4 linked regions of the Styela clava genome follow. The protein of the gene in region 1 interacts with the protein of each later gene in a biochemical or structural test. Links are inferred from orthologs where the notes say so. Each region holds a gene or a part of one and is shown in the gene's direction. Other genes may lie near its edges.

Region 1 (7,196 bases):
GCATCATACTATCTTGACTTGAAACTCACACAACAACATATAGAAATAGAGGTACTCCTGAGGTATGCGCACCAAGATGGCGCACAACCTGAACTCAGATTGTGACCAGGTTAGGGTTCAGGTTATGCGACATCTTGGTGCGCATACTTCAGGTGGTACGAAAAATATATTTAAACGAAGGGTGATATCTCTTACAAAATGAAAATAAGTTGTCAAAGATAAATCGGTGTGTTCTTCAGATCAAAATTAGAGTCGCAGCTACAAACCAAATTAACTTAGCATACTTACCCACTTATTTCGCCTTTGAATTTGCCTTTATAAACAGGACCATTGTTATAGTGTAATGTTCTTTGTTGGTTGTAGTGGTAATGGTGTTGTACTATGGTAACACCTGGAGCGGGGCGTTCGTCAGGACCAGCTACTGGAGGAGCAGGTTCTGGTGCTTCTTCAGGTTCAATGTCTTCTATGATGGGTTGCCCCCCAATCACTCTCCTTGATTGAGCATGTTCTTCATGCTGTAAGTCCGAGATACCGGGTTGTTGGGGATGACCTGGAAGTTCACATTGAGCAGCTGGGGGTGAAGGGTCACCTTCACTAGAATTAGAGGAAACATTTGGTTCTGTCATTATTATATAAATCTTGGAATGCTAAAACAAACAACAAAAAATGCGCATTTTATGATTTAACACATTACAGAACTTCATTCCATAAGTAGCCATAGAGAGTTGTAACTTTTGTGGCTAACAGGATCAAATTATTTAAAGCAAGCATAGGACATACGGGTTGACACAACAATCTCTTTCAAATTGTGTAAATTCAAAGTGAAATGCTGGAAGAAATCTAGATTATTTCAGATTACGATGGCTAAAAATATGCACCAAATGATTTGTCTTGTGCATAAACCCGCTGCAAAGTTTTCATACTGATACACGATTAAAACATTATTCCAACTTGTTTAAAAATATAGAAAAAACATGTGCCTATTCGCGACAGTAAAAGCGCAATTTATACATTATAGTAGGGCTACTCAACTGGCGAAACTCGGTCCGAATCCGGACCTTCCGAGTATTTGATTCGGAACCCACCTAATTCTTTATTTTAGAACATTAGCCCCACTTTAGATATGTGAAGGTTTGCTTTTAATATATGACTTTTATAGTTTTAAAAGTTATTATATTTAATCGAAAACTATTACTAAACAAAATATGATTTCATATATATAATTCAAAATATATAAAGTAAGTCTTCGTAAAGGTATAAATTGCATCCTTAATCGCTTTATTTCCATCTCTGGTAATCCACACTGACAACTATCGTTTTTTGTTCTGTAAAATACCAACTTATTCCACGGGTTGTATGAGACAAACACACACGCTGCACATTTATAGAGTTCCCTTCATATTATAAGGCATGTTTATTAGAAGAACCAGTATCTCATGATATATATGTCAGACACTACATTTACAGATAATAATTTATTTTTTGATAATAATATACAGATAATAATTTGTTTTTTGATCTATTTTGAGTTATTTTGGGCCAAGTTAAACGTTTCGCTAGAGGTGGAATTTTGATAATTATACAAAGTATGGGAACACAAGTCTTCGTGGATTCACGTAATCATTACATTCAACAACAGCAAAATACACAAAAATAAAAAGTGCTCTCTACCTCGAACTCGTCGCCAATAGTACGCTTACGGTCGTTAAAATACAATCGGTTGTAAAGTATTATTGGTTTCAAAGTCAGCTCTAGTGGAATATGTACCAACCATGAGCCTTAGTTAGACAATTACTGAGTTTTGCATTCGTCTTAGGCCCATGATAAGTGAATGAGACAATACCTGGATAATGTATGGAAGATAAACTGACATATCGAAGACTACTTCATGGACGACGTTAAACAACTGCCGATTTGTATATATATCTTCGACTCGTGCCTGGTAAATGACAAGCGGAAAATTTGCGGCGGTCGACGATACGTACCTAATTTATGACATGACGCGACGCAATTTATGACGCGCGACAAAGTAAATATTTTTTGGTAATTGCTGAACTCTTCGACATCCCTGCGCCATTAAAATCTATGCATCTGAAACGAATAACTGGTTAACTGATCCCATTCCCAATATGGGCTGGTACGGGATTCGAGGCCGTGGTTCGCTATATGATTTTTTCTTTTCGGAATTCACATTTCGTAATGAATGTGAATAAAACATGGAGCAGTTGGCGGCAGGTTACCGGTATACGGTAGGCTATGTCGCTATTGTGACGAATATGCCCTATTCTGAATACGGACTGGAAACAGCACAAGAGCTCGTGGTTCGCTATATGATTAAGCCGTCTTATCGGCTTTCATCTACTCCAAAATTCAAACCCACCAATGAAACGTGGGACAATCAAGAAAGATATTTGAAGTACGGCATAGATTGCCTGAGAGAGAAACAGGCCATCCAAACATACACAGGCCGCGTCTATCACATCAAATTGATTGACACCATCTGTATTTCACCATATTTTGCACACAAAATAAATTCGTATGAGAAAATATATCAAACGTTCCGACCCACCGCGTGACCATAACACCGTAAATATTTCGGAAATTGATGAACTCCTCGACGTCCGAGGTCGATTACCTTTTCCTCGGTCATCGAATCTGCGCATCTGGAACGAGTTACTGGGCAACTATTCCTCGATATTACCGAGAGGCTGTGGTTTGCGAAGTGATTATTTCGTCTTAATCGTTTACCTTTCCCCAGAATGAATATGGAAAAATATAATTGTGTACTGACAGGAACTAGTCTATTCATCGCCATATGATTAGGAGTATAAATTTATCTAGTATCGAGTAATGGATATTAATAAAACATAAGCAGATAAAAGCATAGGCCACAATGTATTTGAAGTACGGCATAGCTGACATGTGAAGTAAAATAGGCCATTGAAACTCACGCAGGACACGTCTAGCATAGCAAAATGATTCACATGACCTTATTTCACCATATTTAGCACATGAAATGCGAGGTAAAACCCTCACGAATGTTCTAGAAAAAGAAATTACTAATATATTAAACATTACGAACCACCGCGCGACCATAACACAGTGATAATTCCGGTGAATCCCCTGGTCACGAGATATCTCAAATTACACGTCTGCAAATATAATAAAGAAACAAAGAACAGTCATCGTCACGTGATCACGTTGTGCAATCAAAACAAAGTGGCGGCCTCCATGTTTTGCTGAATCACAGACAAAGAACGTTCTAGAAAGAGTTATTTTGGATATAAATTCGCGTGACTTCTGTTGGCCCGAGGCATAGTCTTGAAAATATTTGTTGACGAGACACTGCGTTGCGTTGTTTTGCCATATTGAAGTTAAATATTTTGATTTTAGAATATATATTTTTGCAGCTAACCAATTAAATGTTATTTTGGTATTGGCATTTCGGCATTCTGGCATTGGATTGACATTGAATGTGACGGCGCCTGTGCCGAAATGTCAATACCATTAATAACATTTATCCTAATTGGGATAAATTTTAATATTGGTATTGGCATTTCGGCACAGGCGCCGTCACATAACCTCGAATTGTTGTTTTTATTCTTCACGAATTTCACTCATCCAAATTTTACAAATACAGAAATAGGCTTCAACCGTGAATTTTATTTTCTTGGTGTTTATGTACGATGTTCATTAATTTATTCTAGTACTGTAGTATGATTGATGTTTTTCCATTTGTGTTGGTGAATAGGCACAAACGCTGGTTACAGTCAGATAGTGTTTGCTATAAACCTTTATCTTGGTTTTGCCCATTTTCCTGATCTTTCCGTCGTCATTATTTAGATTTTATACATAAATCTGCAGTTACCAGGTTACGGAGTCAAGATAATAATGTTGAAGTGTAATAAGCAGTTTTCATACTGATGTAAGGTAGTACAGTAGTACCGGTACCGGTAACTTTTGTTTTTATTTTGTTCCTACAAAATATATTATCATGATGGTGAAGAAATACTGATTACTGAACTATTAAAAAGTGGTTTGCAGAGCAAGGTACCTACCGTACACAATAATTCCTGAATTCTGTGAGTAGAGCATTTTTCAGCTTTCCTCTCAGCTGGATTAATTTCAGAGTCTACAAAAATCCGATTACAATATTATACCTACATCTACATGCATTCCAATCTTCTTTTCCTTTCAATATTCTGATATAGCATTAGGATACAATACTTTACGATTAAGTACGAATTGAAAGCGTTATTTAGAATAGAATAATGTCTCTACAATATAAAGCATACCTTATCAAAGGGAATCCGAACAATGTGAAAGAAATTCGTCGTTTCACGATTGATACAGACGTCTCGTCAAGCTATGACTATTTGAAGAACAAGGTAAGAAAAACTTGGGATAAAATACATGAATTTGATAGTGGATAAAGCCGGCGCCTACCAGCATTTATGTAAACCACCCTACAGCGATGACAAATCCAGTAATGCTCTTGCAACTGACTGGTATGACATGGAACTTAACAAATTTTTTAAAAAAATGTATTCTACAAAACGAAAAATAATGGGAACAGCTTTCAGCTGGAGCGAAATGAACAATTTGTTAAATACTGAAATAGCCCTGTGTAGCCTTGTCATTTATCTGTTAATTGGGTCATTTTATTTTTTTTTACCTTATTTGTAAAAAAGGCAGTTAAAGCTTGCAATTCAGTACTCTTTCCATTTTTAGTTGATTGAATGTGGCCTAGCTTTGTGAAAACTTGTATTAAAACTATGGCACAGTTCTCCAATTCCAAGATGTCCCGAAATTTAGTTCTATAAAACAAACACATAAGCGTCAAATTGCGCCATGCTTGTCTGCATAATAATATAAATGAATTGTAACCGTCATGTGCCCAAATTTGCGTTTTTTGGCTGCACTCTTGAATGCTACAGTAAGACTTTTCATTTTTCGGTATACCGAATCAATTTTTTCCAATAAACTCAGTGGTTGCAAATTTAGATGACGTCGAAATGGAGGCCCTGACTGTCTTGTAAAGGTGGGGTTTGCACTCACAGTTATATTTGATGTCTTTCAATTCGGGGTTTTTTTTGGAATCAGAGTACAGTATGTCTTCTGGTTACGACGGTCCCGACAAACGCTGTTTCGTGGTTACGAACGCACTCCATAAAAATATAAAAGATAATACTAATTACTACAGAGCCTCTACCATCTACCTACTCGAACTTCTCCACCATCTTATTAATACTGTACTGTATTTGCTTTTATTCATTTGATATGGAATTGTTTTCTGTTTTTCTAATAAAGTACTATTTTTGCATTATTTGTACATTTTATTTCAGTACCATACTTTACAATATAGTACGATATGTATAGAGTAATTATATATAATGTTTCGACTTACACTGAAATTCGGGTTACACGGCGTCTCAAGAACGGAACGACGTTGTAAGTCGAGGACTCCCTGTATTGTGTTGTACTGGTCTCGCATGCTTGTTTTGCGTAACCAAGGATAAAGTTCTTTTCCAACACTTTTCATTTTCAATATGTTAACAGGTTTCTTCAGTGTTCCCTAACATCGGTGAGGCGTACACTCTGCATTACAAAGATGCTGAAGAGGATTTCATTTCCTTCAGTTCTGATGAAGAATTGATGCAGGCTCTCGGTCAAATTAACGATGGATTGTTTCGTCTGTTCGTGAAGGTATGTAGCTGCTACAGGGGCGTAGCCAGGGGGGGTGTCGAAACTCCCCCCCTTTTGAAATGTAAAAAAAAAGCATATCATACATAGCGATTTATAGTAGCTTGAAATGCTTTTTACACCTTCAAGACTCATAAAAACACACATTTTCTGGCGTTTGACCGGTCCTAGCTGTTTCGATCTAACTTGACAAACAGATATTGCAGAACCCCCCATTTGAAATTTTTGGCCAATGCCCCTGAGCTCCTACATAAGATTATACTTTTTACAGGCATAATAATTAGTCAAGCGTGACTGGGCAGCATTGGTACTGTATAGATAATATAAGGTTCTTCTGATTAGTGAATCCTCATAATATATAGTGTCTATAAAGTCTTGAAATTTTTTAAAATTACAAAGGGAACTTATCGATACCATATATTGTTTTGGACCTCACGTGGTAATAAATGAAGTTAAAATACTTGAACAATTCCTGAATGAAAAACAACAAACCTGGTCAACATATATTGAGGACTGACTTCATGACAAAATTGAAATTGTGAAGGGACTTCATGGAAACTCTGTATATTCTTGCAAGGATGATGATAGATATATCTTCTAATATGATTCTGTTTGATTCTGGCCCAATAAATAAATCAACCATGACTGGGCAGCATTTCAATTGCATTATTCTATTTTTTTAATCCAGGTATTCTAAATCTGCTTCAATTATTTTTTAAACTTTGTTTATCTCATTTTCAGGTTAAAAAAGATGGAAACAACGGCGAAAATGGTAATTACTTTTTAAAATTTCGCTCATGCCTAGACAGGGTTGTTTAAAACTGATTGAATATCGAAGTATTTGAATACTTTTTCAGCAAATTTTAGATTATTCCAAATGATCGCCACTTTTCGCTGCCAGCCACGTGATTTGTTTTCGAGGGAAATCTTCAAACAATTTTCTGCGCTTTTTCATGTATTGTAATGACGATTAAAAAGAATCGGCACTTTGATTGTTTGTTTTCTTCGATATTACAAAATTATATTTTCGAATGTTTCTGAAGATTTTTAAGTAAGAGCCTTAGTTGTTGAGAGAACCCAAAAAATATTGAAATAATTTTTTAACAATAAATTCCTTTTTCAGCTACAGGAGAGGATTTCTGCAGAGGATGGAAGAAATTTGCGAAACAGTTTGGGCATGGCCATTACCCCCATGATCAAGGACGTTTTGGGTTCCCCCCACGTCCCCATGGACCTCATCATCCTCCACCCCCTCCTCATGGACCTCCTCCACATCAATGGCAGGGACAGTTTGGATTCGCGCCCCCACCACACCCCCACTCATGGGGGTTTGGCCCTTGGGGTCAGCAAGCACCTGGCTGCCATGCACAGGTACGTTCTTTTGAGATAGGATTTCATATTTGAACTGAGGGAGAGAAACGCTGTCAAGATGATTTTTGATATGGCCAGCTATGCTCTTAATCATATTATGTCATCAATAGTTGGTTTCATCT
Region 2 (7,491 bases), on another chromosome or scaffold:
CTAATTTCCTGGCACCTTTTTCTTGTCAATACTCCAAGCTGAGGTAATAAACATGACAATACATTTATGTCATCTGGAAGCAAAATATGCACACTAATTAATAGTTTGGCACATTGAGATAATACATCATGACAGAAAATACAAGTTAAAGATATGTATGACCATCACATGGTAATTAAAATTTGAAAAAAATTAATAGGGGCTGTGGAGTATGGAAAGTTCAAGACAAAGAAAAGAACAAATGTTCATAGTTCATGAACTCTCAATTTTGCCTCCATTGCTTTGTGAAGGCCAATATATTTCGAGTGGCTGAATTGGTTTACCTTTATGATAGCAACGATTTTGTATTTAATATAGCGAGATTATTTCAATTTAATTGAAGTGATATAATTTCCCAAAGCAATGCTTGAATCGTCTAGAATAGATCAGTGGTGTCAAACTCATGGGTTTTCGAGAGCCGCATTGCATTTTGAAAATTGTAAAAAGAGCCGCAAACAGTTTTTGATAATGTATACTTAAAAGATATTTTTAAGATAGTTTTAGTTTGTGACATATATTGTGATGCAACTAAACAGTTGGATTAAGTTTTATTATTTTCTTCAATTTCAAATGCAATTACATATTAATATTTGCATTCCACTATTATTGCAACATTTGCAAGTTACAGTATTTATTATAAAAAATCGTAAAATTCTATGTACAACCATCAAAATCATTTTTGAACAAGCTTTGAATAAGGAAAGAATAATACATACACTAAAAATAACTTATCTAAATATATGAACCTAAAATTAACAAAAATACTACAGTATAAACTCAATGTTTTAATAATTACATTTGTCCTGGCGTTTGGCATTTTTTTGTGTCACCAGCATACTAAGGCCAGTCTGAAATGATTTTATAGTACCAACTCTAACTAACGAGGCCACATGATCATGGGTTTATCTGGATCTTTACGAATGTTTAATTAATTCCAGTAATGCAAAAAAGTTACTTTTATCATGTATAGATCAGTAAAAAAACAAATGACAGATTTTTTCGACAAGACATTTCGCACTACATTGCGTGGCATAGGATTGCTTGAATTATTATTGATATTGATTTTTAGTAACTAAGTCGTTGTATAATTATATTAATATACAAACACATGGAAATTTTCTGTTCGAAGTTGGTCTTCGAATTTGTCATATTGACTGCTGAGCTTATTGTGTTTTTTGATTGTATTGATGGAAATATGACAAATTAAACAATGTGCTTCAGAATTTTGTGAAGAGCAGAAATGTTACAACTCCCATTTTCTTCGAAAATGCCACCTTCTTCATGTACTTTGCGTTTAATTTAATTACTCAAGTGTTTTATTCAAGTATTCTTTTGCTAGCTTGATGTGTATTCTTAATTGGGTCAAAATGTGGACAAAAAAAATCAATATTTCAAAACTACTTTCAGTAAATTGTTTTCTGTGTGAATAATCAATTTCACTTTAGAAGGTTTGAAAAATCTATTACATTTAGATAAAAATAAAAACTTCCAAAATACTATTACAATTACTGTTAAGCGTTCGAGGGCCGCACTGGAAGTTCTCTGGGGCCGCGAGTTTGAGATCCCTGGTATAGATTGAAGTTGTTCAAAAAATATATGATAGTATTTTATCATGAATGATGATTATACCCCTTCCGGAATTTCTTCTATAGTACTACCAAAAGTTGATGAACCAAATATAACACAGGTGCAGTGAGGTACCCGTTATCCTCATTTCCAAAGCTGTTTTAAGTATGTCTGGCGTGTTTTGTGCCTTTTTACAAATAAGACCGCTTATGCAATCTTACGCTTTGGAATTTTTAGTTATTTTCCTCAAGCCCTGCAGGATGTGGGGGCCATACACAACTCTACCGGAGGGTCAAATGTCTTTGCATGCCTCCATAGGTTGTTTTTCTATTGCAATTTTCTATTTTCAATTGCATTATATTTCTCGGAATCACACTGTCACTGATATGTCGCCAGACTTCTGATATCTCCCCGTCTGCTATAGTTGTCCTGTGAATAAATAATAGGAAATTGAGATTGGACGAATAGTTGAAAGTTTTGCTTTATGTCGGCTTAATTTCTTGATTGATATACTTGCTATTTCTGCTATTGCCTCTTGTGCTGCAAGAGTCTCGCAATGCTTAGACAGGTTTGTCCACAACTTTCACATCTGAAGAAAGAGAGGAGATTTATTAATTTTCGTTAAGAATAAATAAAGCAGTCTATATGATTCAGAATGGAAAAGCTAATAAATCCAATATCTCATGTTTTATTTAAAAAATATTTTACTGAATTTGGTATATAATCAATCAATCAATCATCATTTATTCGTCAACACAATTTAAACATGGTATGATATATAAAAAAATAATTACAAATATAAGTGGAAACTAACTTAAATTGTGTGACAGGAGTCGCGAGGGACCTCAAGAGGTCTTCAGGCAGCGACACCTAAAACGCTTGTTGATTCAGGTTAATAGCTTAAAAAGTTAATGAAACACCAAAACATTTCAAAATAAATATTTTGAAGAAAAAAAGAACATTTTCAAAAAACAAAAAATACCAAATATCCATCATAAGTATTTAAAATAAAAAAAAACATAACATCCTGGTTACGAGCATGTTTTTTTATTATTTAAATCAGTGACCAAATTCATAAAAGATGAAATGCACCGTAGAATTAAACGGTTGCACGAAAAGACATAAAATATGTTATATATCGATGTGGAGTAAAAAAAAAATATAACGATTAACTATAATTCCCTTTAGACTGAATCTTTCAGTATCCCCTGACATGATGCACGCAAGGTCTTTAACCAAAATTTGGTTTTCAAAAATTACGACTCCACGCACATCTGATTCGTTCGCAAACCAACTAATAAAAGGGTTTAGTCAGAAAATTACAAGCATTCGTGGCTCCAAATACTTGAGAAATCAGACTATACAATATAGACCGGTATGAGTGAAATGTTAGGTGAACTTGTTAACACTTTGATTCAATACGCAAATAAAAGTGAATGCGTAATAGTATGTTACAATGAGCAGCAATCAACAATGAGTATATATCCTCACTGATTAAAAAAATCTAACTGGAGGTGCATGAACTATTTGAAACCATAAGGGGTAAGTAAATATGTAATTTCGGCAAATGGGCGACTACGTACCGTACTGAATTAATAACTTCGTAGTATTTGACAAAGGCTGGCTTTCCCACATGTACTTAACAGTGCAATGCCCGGGTGTGATATACAACAATAGTATTCACCTTACCTTTTACCGATTTCTTTTTACCCCAACTTTCAAAAATATCATTAAAATCGACAACAACTGTCAAAGCAGGCACGAACACCATTCGTGCTACGCCTTGAAAGCAGCACACATCCGCTCGTTTTCGTCTCGCCAAGTATGTGCATTGGAGCGTGCTATCGAATACGATCTTCGGACAAAAATGCCGGAGTTGCGCATCATGTTGTTTAATGTCATTGGGTACAGCTATATATATTTATTTTTTGTATATCAGAGGGGTGGGGGCAGATACGAATGAGGTATTATGTTTAATATAATCTTTGGATACATATTTCAGTTGGAATATTCAAATATTTACTGTATAATTCTAACAAAGAAATTGTTTCAATTTAAACTTATACATCTTAGCATTTGCATGCAGTGCCTACGGTATTTTGGATGAGCTAAAACATTATCAGTTTGGTCTTGGTTATTTAAATTAATTGAAAAACCTCCATTTAATAGAGTGAATAAATTTTCTTAGTTTTCATTGTTATCATGACACTGAAAGCACTTCACTCCCATGTATCGATATAAATAGGGCAAAAATAACAAAAACATGCAAAATTAATTACAAAACTTCTGCGACCGAACACTTGTCAATCAAACGTACCCGGTAAACCGTATCGCCATGACCCCGGAAGTCAGTTGATTGCGTTGCCAAAATCAAATGTGTGAATGTTGTTATGAATTGCTATACTGTCTGTATTATATTGTATTAGCTAGCGTACCGGTACAGTTTATTTTCATTTAAATGCTGATTTGGTCGTCGCTTAGGTGTTCTGAAGTTGGTTTTATTTTTATACTAAATACCGGTATTATAATTAAAATTACTAAACAAACTACTGAACTACGGCACCGCAGGTCTCTAGGTACCGGTACCGGTACCGGTATTGAGGTACCGGTAGGCCTAATTGGGTTGGAGCATTGCAGTACCGGTACCGGTACAGGAAAAGGGGATTGAAGTGCCGGTATTCTGGTATTGATATAGCAGTATCAGAGTATAGTATTAAATATTGAACTTATCCTGTTTGTTTATTGCATGAAACTAGCTAATACAGTAATATCAACATGAGTTTGATGCTTTAATCGTTAGGCCATTTCCGGTACGATACCGGTACCGTACCGGTATTCCCACACAAACTAACAGCGTTTTGATTTATATTTTTATCCAGACCATAGTTCAACTTCCAATCATTGAATCAACAAAGTTATCAATCTGTGATTAGGAAAATGATTTTAAAGAAAACTTTATTTTTATGGACAATTTATATAATTTTTGTTTTCTCTTTCCAACTCGGACTTGTGCAATGTGAAGGAGATTATTATGATGTTTTGGGAGTTTCAAAAGATGCAACAAACAAAGAAATAAGAAAAGCTTTCAAAAAATTAGCATTGTTGCATCATCCAGATAAAAATACAGTAAGTGGTATACTTTTGTAAATTGAAGTTCTTTCAACTTTTAGGTTGTGATGATACGGTACAGCGGTAAGTGTTTAACCCAACCTACCAATTGCTGAACTATGTCTGCATGTGGTCATCCAGTCACCGTTGGTTACAAATTTTGGGTTTATATTCTGCAATGCCCCCCACCTCACCCAAGATGTAATGAATTAACGGGTCCCAAATTATAGTAGCTTCCCACTTAGCATTAAATGTTTATTTATAGCCTTGTCAGCAGTGGAAGGCTGAACGTAGCCTATAATATACAGATATACGGTAATCTCTCCATTTTTTTTAAACCCCCGAAAGCATCTTTCACCTTTGACTATTTGGTTGCCCAGTACATTTTTAACTCCTGAAATGTCCTCTCAATATGAAATTTTAGTAAATTTGCTACAAATCAGTTGTAATAAAGTTTGAGATATATCTATTTTATCATCTACATCAGTTGTGTGCAAAATTTGGTAATGAAAGATCTGAAATATTGACAAGGGCCACACAAAATGTCTTGGCGGGCTGGGACATGGCCCGCGGGGGCCGGATTTCTCATGGCCCTCCACTTGCACACCCCTAATCTAGATAATAAATTGATTAAAAAAAATGAAATGTGCTATTGCTCTTATTTATATTTATATATTTTCGATTTTTAGAATGATCCCCAAGCACATGAGAAATTTTTAAAAATTACCAATATTTATGATGTTCTGAAAGATGAAGAATTAAGAAAGAAATATGATCGATACGGTGAAGAAGGATTGAAAGATGATTTCAAGGAAGGAGGATATGAAAGTTACAACTTTTATAAAGATGAATTCGGTATGAAGATTGTTATTCTCGGTGACCGTACATTTGAACCCACGTACATTTGAACCCATGTGTATATCCACGGGTTCAATCTATATGCGGGTGCTAAAACCCATGGGTTAGGGTTAGTATGAGTTCAACTATCCGAAAAACAAAAAAAATTCCATAGGTGCAATAGCATACAGGTGCAATTGTCATGGGTTCAAATGTACGTGGGTTCAAATGTAATGGAACCGTTATTCTCATACGGGTTACAAATAGTGCTGGGTAGCCATATCACTGAGCTGTGGCATTTTGTTGGAGCAGGAGCTGGAGCCCAGCGTATCATATTCATGGCGCTACCAGAAATTTTAATGGCTCCAGATCTTGAATTTTCAATATAGATTTGAAACTTTTTGATTAAATTTGCATAATATAAAGTTTGAATTGAAAATTTAAAACCCTTATATCATGATTTTGAGTGCCATCGAAATTGCATTTATGTTAAAAGTTCAATGATAGTGGTCTGTTTCAATGTACTGTGGTTCCATAGCTGGAGCCATTGTGATTTTGAACCATTTCCCCAGCCCTCGTTCTAAATGAGGCAGATTGAAAAAAAAAGCCAAAGTGGGCTATCTGTAATATTTTTTCACTATTTATGCATTCAAAATATCAAGTTCAGAAGATATTTCATGTAGATGTACAGCTTTGATCATGGCTCTGAAACTCAAGTATTCTCTTCCAAGGTTTCAAATTTTATTCATTCATTTTGTTTTGCAGGAATCTACGATGACGATGCAGAAGTTACAACTCTCGATAGATCAGATTTTGGTAATGTGTAATATAAAGATAATATCCTTTAATTTCAAGTGACTAAGAAATGATATTTATTTTCTGATTTTTTGAGTATACAAGACATGAATAAGTTGATCAGTATTAGTCTGACAGATGGAGCCTTTAGTTCGTATAGAATGGACATTGATGACTAAAATTTCACATAAGACCATAAAATGTATAAAATATCATTTCTGTAGTTATATATGCATATGTTAACTTTTTTATTCGGTTGTTTTTATAGAACATCTTTTTCGGTATGTTTCTCCAGTTCTTACTCTCCATAGCTTTCTGCTCTTGGACAATTTACTTACATATAAAGAGTAATCTAAATACAATTTGACTTCAATCTGAAACATGATTTAAAAACAAAGGGTTGGGCTAGAAAAATGGCTTTTTTTTGATACATCATGAATTGTTATTTTAATTTATCAGAATCCGCTGTCAAATCTGGAGAAACATGGTTTGTTAATTTCTACTCGCCAAGATGTTCACATTGCCATGAACTGGCCCCGACCGTGAGTTCTATTCATTTTTATGTTTTCTTTTATTGATGTAGTACAATACATTACAAAGACTTGTGACTACAAATAATAATAATGATGCAGTAACCGACCAGTGTTCATGTGAACCACCCTATGCTGATGAAGATTCCAACAATTCTCTCGCATATAATTTTTTTCCGCTAGACTCTAACATGTGAACCTGCCTAGGGTAATCAAAGATGTGATGGCAAATTTGTTCCTAGCGTGATGCTCTGATTGCTGAAGTGTATATATATACATAAAATGATAACAGTAGCGTTCCATATTTACTCAATTTTGCTATCCTAACTTCAATGTTATAGTCATAAATTATAAGTTATTGGTATCTTAAATATATACAGTATATATCAGGGGTGTGCAACAAGCGGCCTATGAGCCACGACGAGCTATGTAGTGTGGCCCTTGTCAACACTGAGATTTTCCCCAATCAAGCTTGAAATTTTAATCCGACAGTGTATGTTTAAAAAGGAACACACAGGTATGATTATGTAATGTTTTTTCACTTGTCGCAGCGTTAAATCTTCTGCCGTTTTGCCTGGTGCCCTCGTTACTGTATCTGTAAGTAATAATTTTTGTG
Region 3 (6,814 bases), on another chromosome or scaffold:
TGTACACGAGACCCACCTCCGGAGCACCTCACATTATTTTAAAAGATGCGCGGCCGCACGGGTAATACGTGACGCGATACGCTTTGGTTTTTCTCGCCCTTCCCCTGGGTGTAGCGTTATTGTTATCACAGGTATTCTCACTTTTGCACAACCTAATTCATTTTTGTTACAATTTAATGTTTCTCCCATTGCCAAAATCATTCAACGGTGTAATTGTCGGCACTAGGGAAAGAAATGAATAAGGCAAACAAACCGTATTTCATTACAACAATTAGTTATTATCGCTAAAAAAGAGTAAAAAGACTAAATAGGTTTAAAGTTATTGTGAACAATTTTCACCGACGTTATGAATTTCGTGCAAGGCCCGAGCCTACTTTGATGGCAAAGATAGTAGCATTACTATGTCGAAACGCTTATTCGACTTTTCAGACCGCAGAAACTATGCGAAAAATAACCCTGTCTGTGTTCGAGATTGCAAGAATGGGCAAAATAGAATATTTTTATCGAATCGAATATTTTTAACGAATTGTCGAATATCGGATATTTTCAATACAAATACAATGGGCATCCAGAATGCTAGGCATTCTAATGTTGGTGTGCTATTTCCGCCCGTCCTCTCCTTTTTTACAAGGACTAATTCTTACGCAACGTTTGGTTTTATATTTCTTGGAGAACTATGCGTTCATATGGGCGACATATGTTAAAGACGGCTATTAAAGAGTGAATTCGGGATTTTATTCTGATTTTTATCTTTTAGGTCGGTTTTGATCTTTCTCTTCACCGATTATAAATAAACTGTCCCAACTTTAAGCTAACAATATTATCATTTCTGACGTCGAAATGCGGATATTTAACGATAGTTGACCTTTTGCTTTCCTATTGTGTCTGTTTTATTTTCACATTGAATGGTGAATAAAAAGCCTGAAAAGTCATTGCGTAAATCCTGAATGTTATTTTGAGTTTAAATATTAATTAAATAAATAGGCAATAATCGCAATTCTACTAGTCAAATAATAATTCCTTGGTCAAATTTGGGAAAAATTTCGCACAATAATTTATTACCTTGGTTGACATCGACAAATTTGCAGTTTCTGTTTGTTAGCAAGAGCCGTGAACAATTCTTTGGAAATTCAAGGGATTGGAATCACTTGGAATAAGTTCGAAAATGAAATCTCTTCGTGGCTCACCAAAATCTGGTTGGGAACCACTGCATTAGATATTCAAAAATGCCCAGCCCTATCAATGAGCCACATTATGCAAAATATTGAAATCAACTACTGGTATATCATGAAGTTTGATACGGCCTACTTCGTCGGCAACAACAAGTCCTATTATAAATACCGAGCTGCGGTGATTTGTGTCCAAGCGGTAAGAGCGCCCAGACCGCAAGGCTTATTTCGACTCCAAAGAGACTTGCCATTAATAACCTCCTCAATTGACCCCTAGGCAAGTTTGTTCCCACACATGTTAAAAACAATGTAGGTCCAAAAATTTATTCAACTGAACCGAGTAAATATGGTGGCACTGGTCATCAAAAACGACATGGAATCCTCCGACGGCAGAAATGATGGAGAAGTTTCAGGAGACTTGCCGCAGAAAGACTATGTGCAGGAGTTCGATGTCCCCAATTCAATGAAAAATTTATGAAATAAATAGTCAATTAATTGACATATTGATCTATTTCGCGGTAGGCTATATCCTTCCCATTATAACGCTTAATAAATCAACGGTGAAACGTTTTCAACATAAGTCATATTTTGATTACTAGTTGAGAGACCGCGATTCGAGTTGGTCGTAATGGCTGTGATGATATGTGTTTTGAATGCAAATGATTATCATGAGACTTACCGGATCCATGCGACAGCTGCTTTTTTAAAATCTAAAAAATGACAGCACCCAGGTGAAGAGGATTTACGCGAACATTACTTACGCTAAAATTGATTTAACAAAAGCTTAGGCACTTCTGGGAAGCTCATTTATAAAAAAGGTATATCACGGTTATACTTCGATATTGTTAGCTGAAGGCATCGTTTTGAACTACATTTGCAATATCTGGAAGTTTAGAAAAGCAGCTGGGGTCTAGTATGTATGCGTAGTTTTCGGAGGATTTTACAAACACAAGGAACTAAATGTCTTGAGCACTTACATGGTCATTTTAGGCAATCCTGGTCGAACTCACGCACTTATTTTGAATATTGAAATTATTCTGCCAAATTTTATACTATCGTTTTACTGTTGCGCCACCAATAGTGGGAAAAAACAAAAAAGACAAAACATGGTTAGATTACAATTTGCCTATGTGAAAAGGTTGGGTAGAAATGGGGAATACGATGTCAAATGAGGAGGCAGTAAAGCCAAGATTTGAATCTCAGAGGGCAAGCACAAGAAAACGCATACCGTCGCACTCCTGATTAACCCACGCGGGTCGAAATCCGATTGGGATATTTATGCATGAGATGAGTGCTGGTCTCATTGCCGTCGTAGGGTGGTTCACGTCTTTATAAGCCTATTATATATACGCTTTGGTTCACGTAACCGCTTGATTGTTACGACATCATCCACATCAGGTCAATGCATCTGATAAATGGTGATAACCACTCTCACGCTGGAAATTTATTGGAAACTGAAGGAGAAAACGTCTTGTCAGCTTTACCGCCTCGAGGGGTCATGCAGACAATAATCAGTCAAAAATTATCCCACGAGACTCACGTGGAAGCATCAGAATTCAATCCCGCGGAGTAGGTGGCTACTTGCGAAGGTGAAAGCTACTCTAAAACTGAATATAATAAATAAATATATTGGTCATCTGCAAACGAATGAACATTATGGACCTTTCCCCGACCTTTGACCCCCGGATAATTCTTTCTATACTTTACCATTGCAAAATTTTCGGGGCCATTTTAAGAGTGCTTTTGCGAGTTGGCGCCTGTAAAATGGGGTATGTGTTACAAACCATCATTATGATTCATCGCATACAACAATCTTTTTTTTAAAAGTTCCGGTAAAGAATTTCAGGCTAATCTATCACAGCTATTTCTACACTAATTTTTATTACTGCAATCAAATTAAAACTCCTAGGAAGACAGAGTGATCATTGAATTATCTGATTTATATTTAAGTTTCCGAAACACAACTGAAAACTAACGAATAGAGTTCAAAAACGCGAAAACGAGGTAATGTTTACAACCACACTTGAAAATCTGTCTGAGTGAGAAAAGTGTCTGAGCGGATGCGAAAAGGGGACATTGTTACGTCACTTTTTGCATCTTGCTGATTGGCCAATGTCACGAAGTAAACAAGGAAAACGATGCTCGGGGAAAGGTCCAGAGTAGTTCCCAACTTTTCGCATATCCGACACAATGGGGGCGTGCCCGATTCGTCACGTGATTATCGTCACTCAATAACAACAACAAAACTGATTAGTCATATGACGAGTGACGCTAGTGAAAGACAAAGCGACAAGCTACTGGCAATTACTGCGGTACTGACTCAGGTCTGTAGGTTATAGATGCAACGGCAACTAGTCCTTAAAAACTACTGTAGTATATTTGGTTATTACTGTATTACCGGTACCTACCTGCCTACCGATATCTCTAATAACATTATCAGAATACAGGGACATCCGGATATACTGATATAGCTGTATAGGGAAAACCAACTTCCTGACTAGGCTATTTCTGGGCGAATTTATTTATTCAATAATCTGGTAATAGGCGTAGCTATAAATAGTGACATAAATAATGACAAAATAATAATATAGCATATTGATACAAAGAAATAGGCTATTTGGTTTTATTTTATGTCTTCGCTACAGTCTTGGAATACAGGAATAGGTATAAAATATGTGGAAAGAGGGTTTATTCATAAAATTATTCGAAAAATATATTTTCTCTATTTATTCGACTAATTTGAGAAAGGAGATGATTTTTTAACATTTCTTGGCTTCGATAATAAAATAATCTTGTTCCTAATGGAGGAAATGTCGAAGTATAGTGATCTCCGAACAAGCGAGATGGGTGTGGAATAATCCAATATCATCCAAATTTTGATAGCTAAATCCAATGAATCATTAGCAACAGGAACTAACAATCAATCAAATTAATCAATTAGTTTTGATTTGTTGAGATTCCTCACCTAAGTGAAATTTCAGCTATAACCCTAATATTTTTTCACTTCATACTTGTAAAAAAGATATAATAAGAGGATAAGAGGATACTTTTGTTTTTTATTTTCAACAGAATTTGTGATAAAAATATTTTAGTAAATTTTTTTTTTATATAGAATTTTATTATTTCCAATTGATGAAAATGAAGTGGCAATTTAAACTCGATCATAATTTTGGTAAGTTCAATTATAAGAGAGATTACAATCAACGTAATTGAGCATTGGTGGAACTTTGTGGAATAAAAATGAACTGATTTCATTGATTTGAACAAATTGTCTATTCACCTATTGGTTTATGTTGTGTAAAGGAATGCGTATGAAATGAATGAAAATATGCGTACTTGTGCAGTTTCAATTTCAGAGTTTCCTAATTGCTTATATAATTAGGTGTCAAAGATTGAATACTTATTGGTGTGAACAATCTGAACTTGACACTTGACTTTGATAAGTTGTGAAGTGACTTTACATATCATTTTAACACATCTTTTTTTCTCAGATCATCGGTGCAATGAGTCTACAAAGATAAGAGCGAAATATCCAAATAGAATTCCTGTATGTATATTATATATTTCATTTATTAGCTTGTATTTTAATGTTTGCAAATATCTTGCCTTTTCCTAACACTTGTCCTAATATAATTGTTTCCAAACTTTCAGGTAATTGTTGAAAAAGCAGAGGGTTCAGGAATAGTGAATATTGACAAACGAAAATATCTCGTTCCTGCAGATATTACTGTTGGTCAATTTATGTGGATTATAAGAAAAAGAATTCAACTTGCTCCAGAAAAGGCTATTTTCTTATTTGTTTGTAAAATGGTTCCAAATTCTAGGTAAGACTCAAAAAATTATATTCTGGTAAGGTCATAATATGAACAAATTGGGTATGTTTGATGTTATATTTATAAGGTGTAAATTTCCAAAAAAAAAACGTTGGTATTCAGATGTCAAAAGGCCTTGTTGGTAATGGTTTATTACTACACAATTGGCATCACTAGGCATTTTCATTGTATGGTATTTCAGCATAATGCTGCAAGACTAACGAAAATTCTCCTATTCCTCATTTTAGTTTAACAATGGGAGCATTGTATGAGGAACACAAAGATGAAGATGGATTTCTCTACATCGCTTACAGTGGTGAAAATACTTTCGGCAGCTCCTGAAAACAGCGCAAAATAAACTATACAATTTTAAGATATGTTAGATTATTAAATGGATCACAATTATTCGATTAGGATTTATTGTTATTGTTGTGTGGGATAATTTTTAAATTGTTGTCTTGGTGAAATTTGCTATTTGTCATAGTATAGACTTGCAAAAGTAAACAATAATTTATGTCCAAAATGTCTCAAGTTAATCTGAAATGTTTAGGATATAACAAAATTTCAAAATCACATCAATAATGTCTGTAAGACAGAAAAGGCAACTGAGATGTTAACACATTTTGCAGTTCAAATATTATTATAATATTTTTTAAAAATTTTATGGTATTTTCTGCGTCAAATTTGTAATATGTAAGTTAACACCGCCATTGTTTCTCCGTTAAGATAATGTCAAGCATGCACTTGTTGTAAGAGTTTATCCCAATTGACGATTTGGTCACCTCCGTCTCTCATTCTAAGGCTGCAAAGTTTAACCTTCAACCTCTTAGCTTCAATTCGTAGTATGGTGTTCTTGAAAAGTTGTTCAAGTTCCTCCCCACAGTAAATCACATATCAAAAATGTTTCAGTAGCTCTGTTGTATATCTGTTGCTTTTTAAAAAGTTAGAAATGTTGGAATAATAATTTTGGTATGAAGCGCTTAAACTTTTAGCCTGGTCGTTTAAAGAAATCAAAATTGCATTTTGCTAATTGTTCATAACCTTTTTATTGATTAAAAAGTATTCAAACTTGTTTAATCTTACACACCACTCATGCTTTGTATTGTATTTATTTTTGTTTCCACATGTGCATTTCAATTAGTCAGAAAACATGTGCTGAATTATATTTGATCCTGGATGGGCAAGAGATGAAGCTGATTCGGAAATACCATCCACTTTTCTTGACATGCACTTTTTGTTTAGATGTATGGGTGTATATTTTTAAATACTTTCTTTATATGAATACATGTGAATATTTAGCCTACATTAACACTCTGCACGCTTGTGAATGATGTAGATTGTAGGTATTCAATGCTTTTTGTTACCTGTGCATCCAATTAGGATTTCATAAGGACAAGTTCATAAAATGTGACTTAGTTAAGATTAATTTATAGTTATTAAACCGGTTTTTGCTCGCCTGAAATTTATGTCCTGGTGCCTGTCCTTCCACTGAATTAGCTGCTGGTTCTAATTCATACACTGTTAGTGAATTTTTTAGGTTAGAAGTTTTTTCCCAGTCCGTTACAGGTGTCTTAAATTGTTCAATTCTCCTGCCAGCTGCTATATACGAGGCAGGTAGGCCCTTGTCTTTGTATAACCAGTATTATTAGAAATGGCATCACTCGTGACATCGATCCTAGAGTCTATGAAATTTCCGTTGTCTCGATACTCCCATTACAGCCTTTTTGTACATATTGATCGTTTCGTTATTATGTTGTTGTTGATCAAGTTATTAATACTTTTCTTATTGTGAAAAGTCGCTCTTATTAACTACTGGACCAATCGCTTTGAAAT
Region 4 (7,862 bases), about 14 Mb from region 1:
GATGAAACCATTATCTCCATTTAATGAGCCCAGTTCTTTAACGCGAACTGTTTATATGATAAACTCAAATCTGGTAATCTCAATATCTGGCACAACTAACATAAAGGTAGAAGCTAAAATCGAGTTGAAAGAATATAAAATAATTACCGTACGTCTGTGATTCCGGGAGCCACGCTGACAGGAGAAGATGGCAGGCGAGGTCGCGCGGTCAGCGATTCCAATCCGATCGCTGAGAGAGAATACTCGCAGGAGTACAGAACAGATAAAGTTGATTTCCGTTCAGTTTACGATAAGACGCAAACTCTTTCCAAGTGTAGTCAAAACAAACCGACCAGATAAATTCAACGTATTTGCCATGTGTTCAATATCAGTAACTTTTGGACATTTGTTTTGGTCGCTGACGAATTGATCTGAGAAACAGTATGACTGGCGAAGTGTAGCTTTCACTTGAGATAATGATAAAGGGTTAGCCGTCGTACGGCATATTGACTTGAATTATGTGCGGGTCTGTATTTATAATATACGTCGTTTACTATTTCCCATTAGTTTACTGTTTTATAAAAGTTGCATTTACGTGCGCAGTGGATGGGTCTGGTAGCAGATTAATTATTTTGTTGAGTCGAGACTCAACGGTTTTTGATGATCAATGTCAATGAATAGACCTTTTGTTTTTACGTCTTCTTGTTGGCCGACTCCGGCATATAGCCGATCTGATCCGATGTATATAAGCAAATGGTATAATTCATTAAAAGTTAAGGGTCTCATGTAGTTTCGTACCTAACGTACTTCTAGTAGGCGTAGCATAACAATTTTTTACGTGTCAATCCTAACCCCCACCAGACCACACCATCCAAAAATTACGTCACTACGACGTCACAGTGACGTAATAGAGCTCTTCAAACTATGCGAACTGTCATCCAAGACGCGCAGACGATAACCCGAAATCGAACAGTCATTTCTCTCGTTTTCTCGTCGCAACGATCCCGATAGGAGAGAGATCGCTGACGTTAGTCAGTTCTTTATCGTCGGCGCCGACGTCATTTCGGGCGATCGTACGAGTATTTGGCAAGCTCTATGACGTGATTGTGACGTCGTAGTGACGTAATTTTTGGATGCTGTAATCAGGTGAGGGTTAGGATTGGCACGTCAAAAAATTGTTATGCTACGCCTACTAGAAGTACGTTAGGTGCGAAACTACACAAGACCCAAAATTAATACACATTTGCAGGCTTTGTATCGATATTTCTACGGTGATATACGCACGTTTTCTTCCTTCTGTTCCGTTGAATAGAATAACAAGTTTTATGATGAGACGAAGAATTATTTGTGTACGACATGACGAGTGTAGACCATTAGTGGAACGCACAGCATGAGTTAACACCATGCAGCCATGTGACCGTGTATGACCTATGTTGTTAACTTCTCCCTGGCCTTGTAGTCAAACGTCAGGGACTAACTTTCCAAATGGTTATAATTGACGTAATGTACCTTGGGGCATGTATTGCTATCAGCGCAACGGACCGCATAGATTGAGCAGAGCGTGTCATATGACCGTTTAAATGGCAATAAAACGCTCTCTTCATTGTTATTGTGTTCCTCCGGTCTCGTTAGAAAATTTCTTCATTGTTAATTATATAATACAGAATCCATTCGAGAACCATTTCTACCAAGATACATTCTTGGGTGAATAATTCATTCACCATATTACCCAAGTTAAATTAATTACGTAGTATGAAATCAACAAATTTAGCGCCGAGTGAATCAAGTCAATAAAGCCGCTTGTGGCACCTTTGCGTGTCAGGTGAAACCAGTTGCCTGTTGTTTATCGACGATCGACGCACATCGAGCGATCTTTGTCCCAAGGTTTTGTTGGAGGTAAACAAGTACCGGCTGTTCGGCGGTAGATTACGTTGAGAGGAGTTTAGACTGGTTGGGCGACAAGAGACGTGTGTTATTTATAGAGTAGCCTACATCAACTGCTTTAAAAAACGACGACAAAAATGAAAATGAGGTATTTGTGACAGGTATCAGTAAAACAATTATTTATTTTATTGATCTTAGCAATTAAGATGTGCTTTGAACCACGAGTTGGATTTATCCACCAAGCGTTTACTTTAGACAGATATTATTATCACGGTTCTTGCAGCGAGTTACCCACTTACGATTATGATGAATTTTGCGTAATGGCAACGGATTGATTTTGATTGCTATATTTGCATACAAAATATCTGTTGCTGCAATTTTGTGCAATCTAAAATCAGTTTATCAAATATCTTGTGTCAGCCACTGCCATTTCTTACCAGATTGATTACATCGTCTGTTTTATTACCAGATCGTAAATAGTGACCATACTGTAAAATATTTACTTTTGCACGAATATTCCAATTGTTCCTTTTACTAAATATTGGGCGTTTCCGTAGTATGTGAACCTAGATGGCGGACAACGGAACGTAGTATGTGTACCAGGTTAGGTTTTGATCCTAATTTTATTCCAATTTTCTCTATTTTTGTTCTATTACGAACTCGGAGACTAGCCAAGTGACTCCCGTAGTATTTGTACCTGAAATTATGGCCTATCCCTAACTTGGTACACATTCTACGTTCCGGTGCCCCCCCATCCTAGTTCACATACTACGGGAGTACCCAATATTGTCATATCGAATAATTGTCGTGCTTGCCAAAGGTCAGGTATTTTACTTATGCATGAGTTCGTTCACACCAACAGAAATCGCTAACGAAATTACCATCATTAGTAACTGCCTGGAGTTTCTCACTGACAGTATTGCGAAATCGATTTGGTTGCATTATTGAGAATAGTTGAACCAAAAAATCTATTCAATTGCTCTTGTTAACAAATCTCGAGTCTATTTGAAAAAAGGGTTAATTATTTGATGAGATGTTTTATATTGTAAATCTAATTCACCATCTATTAGAGGTTTAAAAGATTTATCGGACTGTGGTTTAATCAAACTTTGTGCACACATATATATATATATATATATATATAAATTCAACTAATTCCCGTACCCATGATTCCAATTTGCATTTTTGAACGAGATTGAATCATGAAAGCCATTTGTATATTATGTCTCAGCATCTTTTACGCCATATAATATCGATCTCCAGATTTACACACAAAATGACAGTAGCAAAGTTTCTGTACTTTAAAATAGAAGTCGCTAGAAGACTGTTACTTTTATTTTTCTCGTAGTCGTATGTTACCCGAAATTTTGCCCAAAATTTGGTACTCCCGTAGTGTGTGTATCAGGTTAAGCCATAATTTTATTACGACTTTCCTTATTTTACGAGTTCGGGGACTTTCTGTGTTAGCCAAGTGAATATACCCCCTGACCATAGGTTTCAGTCCCTTTACACAACTTGATGTAAAGTAGGCGAACAAAATTAGTTACCTCCCTATCTCTACACACACTTCTGCACCCAAAATTTCAATATATTTGATGAGAACACTTTTCATGACTCAAAGTCTGATACGAACACATTATTTTGTTGCGCTTGTCCACCGATCTAAGCAAAAAGCTCGGTGCCCAGCTAAAGCCGTACCTTTGAGAAGCCTGTGTGTTCATATATTTAAACATTTCTATATTTTTTTATTTTGTTTTACTATAAGTGTGCTGGACTTGAGTATCGTAATTAGTCATTAAAATAGCCCGTGACTTCAGAGAACGTAATCATATATATATATGATTGTAAATAATTGGAACTTCAAACGTGTTTAGGCGGGTATTTCTCCTTCTATCGACCATGACTAATGACAACTTGTGACTAATTATTGCGTATATATATATATATTATGATTCAAATAAATAGGACTGATCACCTAAATCTGATATTAATTCAGAGCAAGTTCCGTCATTTGCTTTTCGTCATTTGTCACGCGTGTGAATTAATACGTGCAACCACACATGACACACTGTTCGCCATGATGCCATCCTTAATTTTTCTTTGAAAGAAATGTAGCATAAACTCGTCAACTGTCACTAATCACTATATCAGCTGATCATCAGTTTAATTTACTAAACACTGTCAAAAAGTATGTAATTATCTGCAACATTAAAAAGTAAATAAATAGTTTGTGTAACACGAAATTTTACGAAATCGGACGCAAACCATATCGCTCTATAAACGAATTTAAGATTTGTCCTTGCGCCGTTTGCAATATAAATCTAATGGAATAGAATAAAGGTGGTATTTGAGACGGTGCGATAAACTATTTCCTATTAGCTTTATCAATTACCAGCGTCAATTATTAGTTGACGCAACGGTTAATTAGATTAAACAGCGTTGCACTCAATAACTCCACTGTTGTAAACTTTGTTTTCGCCTTCGCTTTGTCAAGATTTGGTTGGATGGTTTTCCTTGTTGATGTTGGTTTGTTGTGGACTGTTTCCCTTTCTACTGAGGATATAATATCGGAAGACGGCCTTGAGTGGAACAATGTGATGGCCTAATTGCTATACAAGGCATCTCAGCTGAAAATAGTCTGACATGTGATATTATTAGTCTTTATAACAAAGCCAAGGTAGAAGATGATTACGTAGCTATCTGAAAGTCGTATTCATTTTATCAACTCATTGATTCCAAGATAGCTGTGATAAGAATGACCGACCATTTCAGTAGAGCATTTGCTTGTACATTTGCTCATAATGTAACACATCAACAATGAGTGGAAATACAACAGTCTTCACTTCCGTTAGACCGCTTTCGCGTTTCGAATGTTAAGTGACGATTGGAAAGATATCCGCCAGCCATAATTATTTAGAAATCATTCAGGCCTGTCCGTAAAAAAGCTCTGGTAATAACGCTGAGATGTTTAGATAACTAAACGGTTGGTTATGACGATGTTGTGATGTTTGATATATGTTACTTACTTGAATATCGTTGGGTGAGTAAAGATCCAGGCATTATTGTAACACAGTTAATCAAATTAAGGCGAATAATTACTTTTATGCTCACTAATTTACAATGTAAGATAAATTTTGATGACAGTGGGAGCAGCAGACTGCTATTATCTCGATACGTTCTCAGGCGATAGAGCATGCAATCGACCTATTACGCTGAAATGATACCTATATGAGATTTTGTAGCTTTCGGTTGAGGAAATGTAGTGAAGCGCTACATATATTGTTGATTTGCCAATAGCACAGTGGTGTTTTTCTATCGAATTACTTGGATGATATATTGGTTGTGCAGGGATTCGAGTGTTATGCTAATGCTTGTAATTCCTAGATATATATATATCTGTAATTCAAAGGAAAACACAGTTTGGTTACTAACACCTTTAAATTCAGCTTTGCTTGTATTTAATAATTTGTCATCTTTTATCATAGGTTCTTACTTATAGTATTCTGGTATTTGTTACAAATTTGGATATTATATTTTTGGAAAAGAAGAGACTGCATCGGATTTTGCACATGGCGCCTACTAACGGGAATGCAGCACAAGACGCAAAAAATGAATACAAATATATACCATTCAAAGAGAGGAAATCATTAGGTAAGTGTATATAATGTGTATTTATACTACATATTATCTCGTATTTGTAATTCAAAGTTCCCTAAAAAAAGCGGTTATGCTTATATAGTTTTAGTTTCTAAATCGAATTCGCATACTTGTGATATATACTGTACAGAGGCAATTGAATAAATGAAAATTGATGATTTTGTCGTCATATAGTCGTCGTAGTTTTATTTGGATATGTACATACACATGACATACCCTTTGTTCTGAGAATTCATGTATTTTCGATTTCTAGTAGCATTTAAAGGGTTATCTCATAAATTATGTATTCTGTTACTTTTCATACCGTCATAATTAGAATTTACATTTTTATTTGTGTAGGATTGAAACATATAACAGGGTCGGAAAAGAAGATTTTATAAGAAAATCGCTAAAATTTTAACGCATTTTTGACGGTTCCATTACATTTGAACCCACGACAATTGCACCTGCATACTATTGCACTTTTGGAAATTTTTTTTGTTTTACGGATATTTGAACTCATACTAACCCTAACCCATGGGTTTTAGCACCCACATATAGATTGAACCCGCGGATATACACGTGGGTTCAAATGTACGTGGGTTCAAATGTACGGTCTCCATTCTTGACATAATCTATTTGTTATTTCATACAATAACTAGTAGGCATATAGGCTCGATATGTGCTATTATTACTCTCTATGTAAACGTCTGTGAATACAAAGTATTTATTGTAAGCAACGGTTCTCCTCCACATCAATAATACTCGTGCCACCACGCACCAGGAATGAGTGAAACTAACTGCCTTTAAAAAGATTTCCGGATTTCTGCCAATCGTATAGATTTTCTGATCGAAAACATTTAGCTAACGCAATTTGGAAGGTCAAATGCGATTGGAATAGTCTCGAACAACAATAGAAGCTCTGGTTTCAGGTTGAATTAATCCTTAATCCCATTGATGGGTCATGTAATAGGTCCCGTCAGGTGAATTAGTTTTTGCGTAAAGTCCATATATTTAATAGTTAATATAGGATTATATATTTAATAATTATAGGAAAATGTAAATAATATCGGAATAAACAAATGAAATATAAATCAAAAATTCAACCGATGAAATTTTCCTTACATTTTAACTTTCCAAGTGTGTGTGTGTGAAGTTGCATATGACGTCGTCAATCGGCGGGAAATGCGACCCATATATGGTGCAATATTGACCACGGGTAAAGGTATATCTCAGAATTCCATCACATATTCAAACTATTTCATATGAATTGTCATTATGGTCACATTAATGCCGTTTGTTCCGAGAGTACTTCCAATTGCACAAAATACATGACCCAATAGGAAAAAGTTCAAAACAGATCACTGAAAAACTACATGATGAACGATTTCTAAAAAATGCGTTTTATGTTATATTGGTGCAATTTTCTCGTCAAAAATGCAGTAATTATTGATAAGTGTTAATTAAGCCTTATCAATTGTATTATCTAACAGTTTGCTTTCGACAGAAAGCAAATAAAATTGATTAATTGCGTAAACACGTGCGGATTAATATAATTAAAATACTTTACATAATATATTTGCATGGTATCTTGGAATTTATGGGAAAATTCGAAGTATTTCATTTCATATTATTGTCAGATTTATCCATTATTGAAGTACTGTATATGCAAGTGTGAACCAGAGGTGGTTAAAGGTGGGAAATTCAAAAAAATTGTTCTTTTATGGTGTATGTGTTTGTTTTATTTGGTTAGAATCGATCACCAAAAGAACCGCTTATAACAAACAAGTAGGGTATCGACGTACGGAATCCATCGAGTGCGTGAGATGTATCCCCGTTTGCACTTCTCTTCCGCGAACGATGAATCACGTGATCGTCTGCACGAAAAGTTTCTCTGATATTGCCACGTCGCGTTGACTGAAATAATGACATGATAAATAATGCTGAGGAAATTTTATTTTAACGTTCAAGTATTCTAATGCAGTGAATTCTAACCTTCCTATCCTACCCGGCAACAAAATTTCAAAATGAATGAAACAGCTGAGTTGTTTCGATAAAAATATTTTGCAGCGAAGTGCGAGTAAACACCAGCAAAGGATTATAAGCGATAGCGCTAAATTCGCAGCAGCGGTAAACGCAAATTAGGAAGAGAAATGAGGAGTTCCGATTCAGTGGATGGGTTGGTCTTGTGATCATGCAATAATGAAACGTTATTATTATATATTTCGACTAAACAATGTGGACAAACGAGATACAGCGACTATAATAAACTCGGATTGAATATTATTGGTCCCGAAGTGGACCTATGGATCGTTTTGTTATTTTGTTGTTCATCTTGTTAGTCTTTCTTTTCTTTTCTTCTT

The links.
Region 2: the proteins of sequestosome-1-like (region 1) and dnaJ homolog subfamily C member 10-like interact in a test that uses a peptide from one of them, tested with the Homo sapiens proteins (2 studies listed by BioGRID). The link is inferred for Styela clava from reciprocal best matches to the Homo sapiens genes SQSTM1 and DNAJC10.
Region 3: the proteins of sequestosome-1-like (region 1) and gamma-aminobutyric acid receptor-associated protein-like 2 form a complex in vitro, tested with the Homo sapiens proteins (7 studies listed by BioGRID and IntAct, with this or other methods). The link is inferred for Styela clava from reciprocal best matches to the Homo sapiens genes SQSTM1 and GABARAPL2.
Region 4: the proteins of sequestosome-1-like (region 1) and microtubule-associated protein 1 light chain 3 alpha-like form a complex in vitro, tested with the Homo sapiens proteins (6 studies listed by BioGRID and IntAct, with this or other methods). The link is inferred for Styela clava from reciprocal best matches to the Homo sapiens genes SQSTM1 and MAP1LC3C.

Annotation. Positions count from the first base shown.
Region 1 is NC_135250.1:30,231,289-30,238,484, forward strand, and holds the start of sequestosome-1-like, read left to right. Parts: upstream 1-4,187; 5' UTR 4,188-4,271; coding exon 4,272-4,388; intron 4,389-5,559; coding exon 5,560-5,706; intron 5,707-6,444; coding exon 6,445-6,475; intron 6,476-6,826; coding exon 6,827-7,074; intron 7,075-7,196. UniProt on the Homo sapiens protein: Molecular adapter required for selective macroautophagy (aggrephagy) by acting as a bridge between polyubiquitinated proteins and autophagosomes.
Region 2 is NC_135252.1:14,591,353-14,598,843, reverse strand, and holds the start of dnaJ homolog subfamily C member 10-like, read left to right. Parts: upstream 1-4,466; 5' UTR 4,467-4,542; coding exon 4,543-4,731; intron 4,732-5,402; coding exon 5,403-5,568; intron 5,569-6,315; coding exon 6,316-6,366; intron 6,367-6,804; coding exon 6,805-6,887; intron 6,888-7,491. UniProt on the Homo sapiens protein: Endoplasmic reticulum disulfide reductase involved both in the correct folding of proteins and degradation of misfolded proteins.
Region 3 is NC_135263.1:15,652,113-15,658,926, reverse strand, and holds gamma-aminobutyric acid receptor-associated protein-like 2, read left to right. Parts: upstream 1-4,236; 5' UTR 4,237-4,301; coding exon 4,302-4,341; intron 4,342-4,660; coding exon 4,661-4,716; intron 4,717-4,820; coding exon 4,821-4,993; intron 4,994-5,229; coding exon 5,230-5,323; 3' UTR 5,324-6,297; downstream 6,298-6,814. UniProt on the Homo sapiens protein: Ubiquitin-like modifier involved in intra-Golgi traffic. Modulates intra-Golgi transport through coupling between NSF activity and SNAREs activation. It first stimulates the ATPase activity of NSF which in turn stimulates the association with GOSR1.
Region 4 is NC_135250.1:15,924,845-15,932,706, forward strand, and holds the start of microtubule-associated protein 1 light chain 3 alpha-like, read left to right. Parts: upstream 1-4,852; 5' UTR 4,853-4,867; coding exon 4,868-4,903; intron 4,904-5,348; coding exon 5,349-5,514; intron 5,515-7,862.